2 linked regions of the Danio rerio genome follow. The protein of the gene in region 2 purifies or fractionates together with the protein of the main gene of each other region. This does not show direct contact. Links are inferred from orthologs where the notes say so. Each region holds a gene or a part of one and is shown on either strand. Other genes may lie near its edges. The genes, in order: tfdp1a and e2f3.

Region 1 (4,548 bases), on a different chromosome or scaffold from region 2:
CTTGGTTGGGTTGTGTGGTCTGTCAAAATAGTAAATGCTACACTTAGTCCTAATTTGCTAACTGTTAAAACAAAAACTGTTAAAAAAAAAAAGTTTGGTCAGAAAAGAAATGGTGGAGCCCAGCTGAGCTTGGTTCCTCAAGGTTTTTTTCCTTCACTTTCGTCAATTGGTGAAGTTTGTTCATCTTCACTGGCTTGCTTGCTTGGATTGGGACTTGTGGAGCTGTGCATTGATGGATTTGCTCTTCAGTGTTTGGACTTTCAGTAGTAAAATTTAAACCACCCTGAACTGAACTTCAAATGTGAAATCCAGACTAACACGGTTTCAATTTACTAGAATTTCTATGTTAAGCTGCTTTGACACAATCTACAATGTAAAAGTGTTAGAGAAATAAACATTTAATACAAAAATTACATATTTTGTAAGAGAACATCCAAAACATTGCTGTGTGCTGGGCTAAACACACTTATAGTGGAAAGCCTATAAAACATGAAGGCTAAAGGAGTCAAAACTGTGACATTAAGAACTTTGATTGCAAGAAGACTCCTTTTCAAAACCTGTACTCAACCATAAGAAGCAGTATTTCTTCTAAAAATATATGTATGATAGTGCACTGTCTTTTTTGTGGTCACATATTGTGACATGTTTTAGTTTGCAAGGAAGTATATTGTGTTGCATCGCAATCATGCCAAAACCTATTTTTCCAGCAGTGATGGTCTGCTTGTTTGGTCCACAACCATGGCAGCGTTCACACTTATTCAAATGATCCAACAGAGCAACTGCACCAGAGATAATTCTAATCAAACCAAACCCACCAAGTGTCAATGAACACACCCTTACATCTTTAGCACAAGCCTAAACAATACAAGTTTACACGAATGTTTATATATTAACATCTCAATGCAGTGTTTAGCCAAGATGTTTTACTTGATGATATTATTTACATGTGGATTAAAACATCACAAGTGTATTGAGATGAGACCCAAACACTTTCAAGCACTGTGTGAATTCAAAGTTAGTTCGATTCGGTGTTTGCTAAAGAAGTCGCAATTTTTAAAATGCTGTCTAGGTAGGACGCTCACAAGGTTTGGAAACACTGTCATGGTTGATGAAAACGAGGCCCGCCAGCTCTCATGCAGCTTTTATTACCAGACAAAGACCTCGACGAATCGTATCATCTCTTTAACATCAAATCTCGAACTCCTACACCCAAACCCCTCGTGCAATATCCTGAAAAACATCCATATGCAACAGTTCCTGTCGTTTTGAGTAACTTTTCTTGCAAAAGGAAAGGGCCCTTAAATACAAAAATATCAAGTGTCTCAAGTAATAAAAAAGCGTGTAAACGCATCAAGCAGAACGATAATCTGCTTCATTCGTTTACTTTTTCCGCTCCAAACATAATGCACAATCGAAGCAGTGTGCACTATTATAAAGCGTGTTAGCCCAGTTAGCTAGCAGCCTTTCAAACACGTTTTGCAACGAACCCTGGTCCTAATTGTGATCAAAACGTGCTTCTCGTGTTTAAATGCGAGCAGATCGGGTATTGTGCATGTGCTCGTACCGTTTTGCAAACGAATCGGACTTAAATGGCCATCTGGAAATGAAGTCTGTAAACTTTCCTCTGAACTTACAGTCCTGAAGCCCTTTGCCTTCTTAGGTGCTGTTTTTGTTGGCATAGCCAGTTAGCAAGAGGACAGAGGAAGAGGAGGTCTGAAGCCCATCTCTCAAACAGGAAACAAAAATAAATCAAATAATATGAAAAATAAAAACCCATGTGCGGTGAATGAGCGTGCTTTTGAAACGAGCTTGCACTTGGGAGATGTTTGATTGTTAGATCATGGCACATTCATAAACCTCAAAATGGATGCGGATGTTTTAAGCATGCACATACAAGACGCATGCAAACTGTAAATCCCTATAAATAATTCCAAATAAAAGAACTAAAATTATCAATATATATTATATAGAGTTTAATAAAGAATAATCTTAAGCAAATATATGTATATAAACGGCCACATTATTAAGCAACACAGTTGACAGTCACAACACCTATTCAGCTGGAGGGTCACAGAATTCGTTGGCTTCAACAGCAACACAAGTTAAACAACCGATTATACTCTAAAAACGGAAAATAGCCGTTCATAATGGGACATAATTATTTGCAAACATTCATGAACTAATTGAACAAACAGGATGGTTTTGGTTTAATGCCTGGCAGCCATTTTACATGGTTGCTAAAGCAAAGCCAACATGCAGTGATGCTAGCTGAGGTGACAGGTCCTTCTGTCGTCAAAAACTACTTATTAATTGAACAAAATCCTCGTGCTTATGCGATAGTAACAATAACAACTGTTTCTTTAGTTTCAAAAGTCTTTAAAACACGCTTTAAAGCGAATTAAAATAAAACTGTTAAGCTAGCGACCAGGCGAGCTAGTAACGTCAAGCTAACTTCCACTCAAATCGAGGTCATCTCGACAGCTTTATCATAATCAATCTACGATCCCCTTACTATTGTTTATTACACGTCCAGTTTTGCCTGCCAATGCTTTTTTGTACGATCGGTAAAGATCAGGGACGATTTTCTATTGCACTACACTGACAGAAACACTTGACATGGCTTAGCATGTTGGCTAACACAAGCCATCTGAGACAGACAGTTTTAATATTTCACCTATATGATAATGAATCAGGACTGATGGTTAACAGACTAACGGCCTCAGATAGCAGATGTACAACTGCATACAGTCGCACGCTGTTGTTTTAGAACGAGTTTGCTGTCAAACGCACTTATTTTGTGTTAAATTATTACAAGCGCAGATAAAAGACAGCTTCTTTATGCACTGGTGATATATAAAAACGGAAAACATCGCTCAAAGCTGTCTGTGTGGACTCGGAGCCCCCCCTGGTCTCACTTACGGTCGGTTGCATCCGCCTTCAACTGTCTAGCGTAGAATGAATAGGAGCGCACAGTAGAACCTGCTCCCTCTCTAGGTCTGTAAAACTGAGCTTGGCGGTGTCGACGCCACGGGAAACCCGATTGGACGATGATGCTCGTGACGTCGAAAAAACGTATTACAAAAGACACGCCCGCGCTAAATTCTGATTAGACGGAGCGCTACAAAAGCTGTGTTGACATGTTCTCATTGGTTGATTATACTGGATTCCACCCACTGCGTCTGAGGGTGGAGCGTGCGTAGGTATATATGTAAATAAAGAGAATAAAAAATGGTTCATGTGTATTAAATGTCTAATATATGTTTATTAATACCACCCAATACAATAAGAACATCTGTTACCAGTGTATAAATGTCTAATTACCGCTTTCATATCACTTTCTCGGGTTATATTTTCAATTAGACCGCTTCCCCTTTGCACGGTAGTCATCCTGTTTATTTATTTAGATCTCAGTACTGTAAAAGTACTAAACATTTGAACCTAAGCTTAGATACAGACACCATATCAATTTATTACAGGTTTGTGGTGCAAAATAGTGCACTGGTATCCATTTAACTGTATTTAGGAAATGAAAAGGAAAAGGTAAACTCTTTCTTAGCTCTTTAAGTGTATTTGTTGGCTTGTTAGCCAAGTTACGATTAATAAATTGTGTTTTCATTTTAAATAATTGAGAAAAGATGTATAAAAAACAACATAAAATACGTTTAGAGGCGTTTAGTATTATGCACAAGTCAATATTTATGAAGTACAAATCATAATGTACAAATCAGCAAAATAATAAATTAGACTATTTTATTTGCTCATTATATAAAATATAAAATTGAAACTTTAAGTCATTAGGTCACATTTTGGTTTTAGGACTGTAACATGTTTATCAGTATTCATGCTGCCCCCACAGACAGGACTGTATACAGTATGTTTTATACAGATAACTAATGGAGAAGTGTTCAAAAAGGGTGTCACCATTTAGTGTCACTATCATTTTCAGGTCTCTGGGTGGGTATATTTGAAGAAGTTATTTGAATTAAATACTGTACATCAAGGGTGCCCAAACCCGGTCCTTGAGGGACGGTTTCCTCCATTTTTTAGGTGTAACCCCAATTAAACACACCTGAACTAGCTAATCAAGCTCTTTCTAGGTATACTAGAAACTTCCAGGCAGGTGGGTTAAGGAAAGTTGGAGCTAAACTATGCAGGACACCGGCCCTCCAGGACCAAGTTTGAGCACCCCTGCTGTACATTTATAAATGTCGAATTCTTACCTAAACAGAGTACATAAACACAGTTAGGTAGCAGTGGTGTAAAGTAACTAATTACAAATACTCAAATTACTGAAAATTGAGTAATTTTTCTCAGAAATTGTAATTTACCAAGAAGTTTTATAAATGTGTACTTTTACTGTCCCTTGAGTACATTTTTAGTGCAGTATCGGTACTTTTACTTCTTTGCTTCAACCTGCAGTCACTACTTTATTTCTTTCTTGTCCATGGGAATTGGCTAAAGTAGAAAAAAATAGTTCTGTGATTCTTGTCCAATTAAATCACACATAGAAAGTAAATCGCATAATAATGAACAACATCAACACGTGGG
Region 2 (4,376 bases):
ACCCCAGAAATAAATAAATAAATAAAAACTATACACACATGCACACATTACCAGCCTAAACCTGCTTTACATACATGTTAAAACCCCAAGTTTACACCATTAATGTGCATTAGGAACTAAATATATAGTAAAGTCAAAGTACTTTGAACCAAACAGAAAAACTTCATGTGGAAAGGATGGAAAAAAGACTAGATAAAAACAAATAGAATAGTATACAGGGTGTCACAGTGGCGCAGTTGGTAAAATTCGCTGGTTCGCACCTCAGCTGGGTCAGTTGGGTTTTCTGTTTGGAGTTTGCATGTTATCCCATGTTTGCATGGGTTTCCTCCAGTTACTCCAGTTCCCCCACAGTCCAAAGACATTGGGTATAGGTGAACTGAAGAAGCTAAATTGTCCAGTGTACGAGTGTGAATGCAAGTGTATGGGTGTTTTCCAGTGTTGAGTTGCAGCTGGAAGGGCATTCGCTGCATAAAACATGCTAATAAGTTGTTGGTAAAAATTACTAGATAAAAAAAATTATATATATATATATATATATATATATATATATATATATATATATATATATATATATATATATATATATATATATAAATAAAGCTAGCACCTTATACATCTCTAAAGCATTTTAAAAAGACTCATTTCACTAACAATACACAAACTAAAATGCACATGACAACACAGACACAGTAGAGGGGAGCAGTAAAATGGCTGTCCTCCTTTTCCAAAGGCTTAAACTCAGTGACCACTGAGAAACTAAGAAAGTAGCACCGACTACATGATAATTATAGATGCAGTCAGGATCTATTTTTTGCATTTTGCAAAAACACTGATGTCATCATTAAACAAGCAGAAAATACATCTCTCGCATGACATGCACAAATACACTGCATACATGAATTAAGCAACTACGAAGGAAATCTCGGTTTATCTAGATTAAGAATTTCTAGCTTTGCTGTTGAGTGTCTTTTTTTTGTTCTGTTTTTCAAACCATGATAGTTCTAATATTAAAAGGTCAGCTTTAGAGCATGAAATGACAACTGTTTTAAAATAACGCTATGTTTTTAGACATTTATTTTTTTAAACAATACAATATCAATGCTTTAAGTCCTAAAGATTATATTGTAAAAGTAATTTTGTGGAACAAACCCAGTTGTTAAATAAAGTCAATTTTATTGAATTAAAACATTTTCTTTTTAATCCAAACGTAATTTGAATTGCATTTATGCATTTGGTAAGATTAACATTAGGACGACCACAATTAAATATTTATTGTCACAATTATATGACTCTTACGTGATAATTTTTATTGTAGAATTTAAATTAGCCTTGCATGACTGCAATACAGCTCTTTTCTTTCCTTCATTAGCTTTCTACTAACGTTACACATCGTACTTTTAGTTAAAAGGTTGGCCATTTGTCAACTTTAACTTAAAGCAATGAAGTGAAGTTTAGTTTGAAGTCGTAATTAAATCATGAATTAAATGATCTTAAACCTATAAAACATATTAAACCACACATTAGTTTAGGTTTTGGAGAATATGGAAACCATCGAACCTACGTAGAAAATTACTTAAAGAGCTAACAGCAGTCATGAATTTCAGCACTTTATAACGATAAAAACAAGTTAGCAAAGCATTCAGCTTAGCACAGAGTACGCGAGCTCAGAAAGGACTCCATCCCCCATCCTAAGACAACAAACCAGGGCCTAGACTCACTAATTGAAGCTTTTGCACGGAAAAGCCAACTTTTACACAGATATCAGAGAACATCCACTCGATAATACATCACATAGGGTATGTATTATACACACAAAAAACGATTTACATCGGCGACTCTCGAGCTTTGACAAAAACTTTAAGAGGCGTGCAACTGCACAACCAAGCGACTTACAAACACTAAAATAATACAATATTGAAGTTGAACAACGACATACTGCACTGAAACATTGTTTAATACGAATACAGTCGTGTTGTCTTAAGTTATACTGCACAAACTCAAACGTTACATTGCGGAAATATGCGGCGTCTTCATTGTAGTAAACAATCATTATGCGTCATGCATATTTGGGGGGACATTTGGTTAATGTGCTAAATTGTTTAATAGCATGAACGTGCAGTTTAGTTCAGAATCTGCATAAACCTGCAGACTGAATGGACTTAAAGAAGCTCCAGCAGTAGCCATGATGACAGCAGAAGTAGGCTAAGTGGACTTAGCCTCACGACTTAACATTTACAGGATTGAACGTGCAACACTTTAACACAGAATTAAACCAAGTCATTTACCGGTGGTCGTCCTAACGTGGGTCGCAGTCCTGTCCCATGTGTGGATCCTTGTAGAGGAGTTGTGTACAAACTGTCAGCAGAAGCCTCGGGCACACAGCCGTTATTAGTGGACGGCGGTGTGTTTATTTGTATACGGGTAGCATTGGAATAAACTGCACACCGTCGATCGGAAACCGCAGTAAAAACACCGTGCTGTTCAGCTCTAACAACCCCTGTCAACATGACTTGTCCTGGGACCGAGGAACCCCCCTTTCTCATGATCCTCAGAGGCGCAGGTTCCCTTTGTCCCACTTGTGATTTGAAGCTAGTTTTCTACCAAATCCGGGCGAGTGGGTGTAAAATGATCATAAATGATGGTAGCGGACAGTGCTAGGAATGCATAGCTGTAATATGAGTGCAATTGCTAAAGGATAAAACACCCGATGTAAGCGATTAAAAAGCGATGCGATCTCGCTCTTGCTTCAGCGAAAAATGGCTCCAGGAAGCGGACAATGAAGTAGGGGATGAGGTTTACGCGCGAAAGGTCCTCCCGCGAAACTCAGATTTCCCGGGAAATTTTTGAAACGGATTTGCATATGTGAACTCATTCGCTAGAGGCAATCTATTTTCCGGCCTCGTGTGCTGACGTGTCGGTATAGTGGAGCCAATGAAATTCCACGATGGTATTTTTTTTTGTTTTTTAAATAGAGGTTTCTCCTCTGGAGGGTGCTAGATGTGAGACACATGCTGAGAGATTTAAGCCTAATAATCACAAAATTAGATCTTTAATCTTAAAAGAAAATATGTCTATACCATATATTATTTTTTTCACTGGAACAATATATTTAATAATATAAACTGGACTCTAGTATGGTCATTACCTCAATTTTTTTTTATTACAAGTAAGGCTAAAGACATATCATTTAAATTACTTCATAGAGTTTATCCCACAAAATTATTTCTACAAAAATTTAAAAGTGCATTAATAACTATTGTTAATAACTAAAATTGGAAAATGTGCGTAATATATTTGTATATAATTTGATAATTATGTACTTTCTCCACTGTTTTTTTTTTTCTTCTTCTACTCTTCTCCTTTAATTTCAATTTTTCCTCACTTATTTTATTCTTGTTAAGATATGTAAAGTGATTGTATTGTACATGCTGGTTCTTGTTAATAAAAAAAAATTCAAAATAAAAAAACATGCTGAGAGCACTGCATGAGTGGTTGGGCCACCTAGAAATTTCGCTAGACAGGGACCTTTGTGTAAACTGAGAGAAAAAGAGCATCAATATCATATAAAATCAGGATTTTTCATCATTACATATAATAATATATTAAAATTGTTATTTATAGACTGTGAAAACTTATTCTAATTAGCAAAATCTTATAACTTTATGGGCATTTTTAATCAAATATTGTTATAAAAACCTTGTTTTTAATTGTTATATAGTGAATCAAAAATAATGGGTCAATAGATAATTTCAATGTAGTCATGTCATTGGCCCATAAACATTTCTTGCTTTTAATCAAACTGTTTCATAACTGTAACAAGAGGCAATTCAATCATATGCTAAAACAGCTATCATGACATTATTTATCAATCTGCGTCTTCTTTAGCTTTAGACAAAACAATGGATAATAGGAAATATGTTGAAACCATTGTTTTTTGTTTACATCCTTCAAAGTGATCTATAGGTAGACAACAGGGAAGCCTTTAAAAACACTACTACATACAGATCTTAATTAAATCTAGATGGATACGAAGTTGACACTAATCTAAATAAGCTGCTAAAAAATTGCCATCAAATCATTTTAAAGGAAAAGTGCTGTGACTAGAAGCAAAGGTCTTAAAAACATTTATATCAACTGCAATGAAATGGACGTTAACTGTAATGGAATAAATATTTTAGTGATTTGCAGAGACATTTGAGGAGCATTTCTAGTTTCTAGTACTCAAATGACAAATTCAAATCGAAATAAGATTTTGTAAAAGCAATGTGCTATATAATTATAAAACGCAACAATAACAACATGAGTAAAAATTAACAAATAACTGTATAAATACAAGTTACTTACACTGCAATAACACTGAAATATATTTCACATTA

The links.
Region 1: the proteins of e2f3 (region 2) and tfdp1a purify together in Homo sapiens (affinity purification with mass spectrometry; 3 studies listed by BioGRID and IntAct, with this or other methods). This does not show direct contact. The link is inferred for Danio rerio from reciprocal best matches to the Homo sapiens genes E2F3 and TFDP1.

What each region holds. Positions count from the first base shown.
Region 1 is NC_133184.1:36,641,647-36,646,194, reverse strand, and holds the start of tfdp1a (transcription factor Dp-1a), read right to left. Parts: upstream 3,008-4,548; 5' UTR 2,920-3,007; exon of another isoform or gene 1,565-2,919; intron 1-1,564. UniProt on the Homo sapiens protein: Can stimulate E2F-dependent transcription.
Region 2 is NC_133194.1:31,758,938-31,763,313, forward strand, and holds the start of e2f3 (transcription factor E2F3), read right to left. Parts: upstream 2,806-4,376; 5' UTR 2,544-2,805; coding exon 2,286-2,543; intron 1-2,285.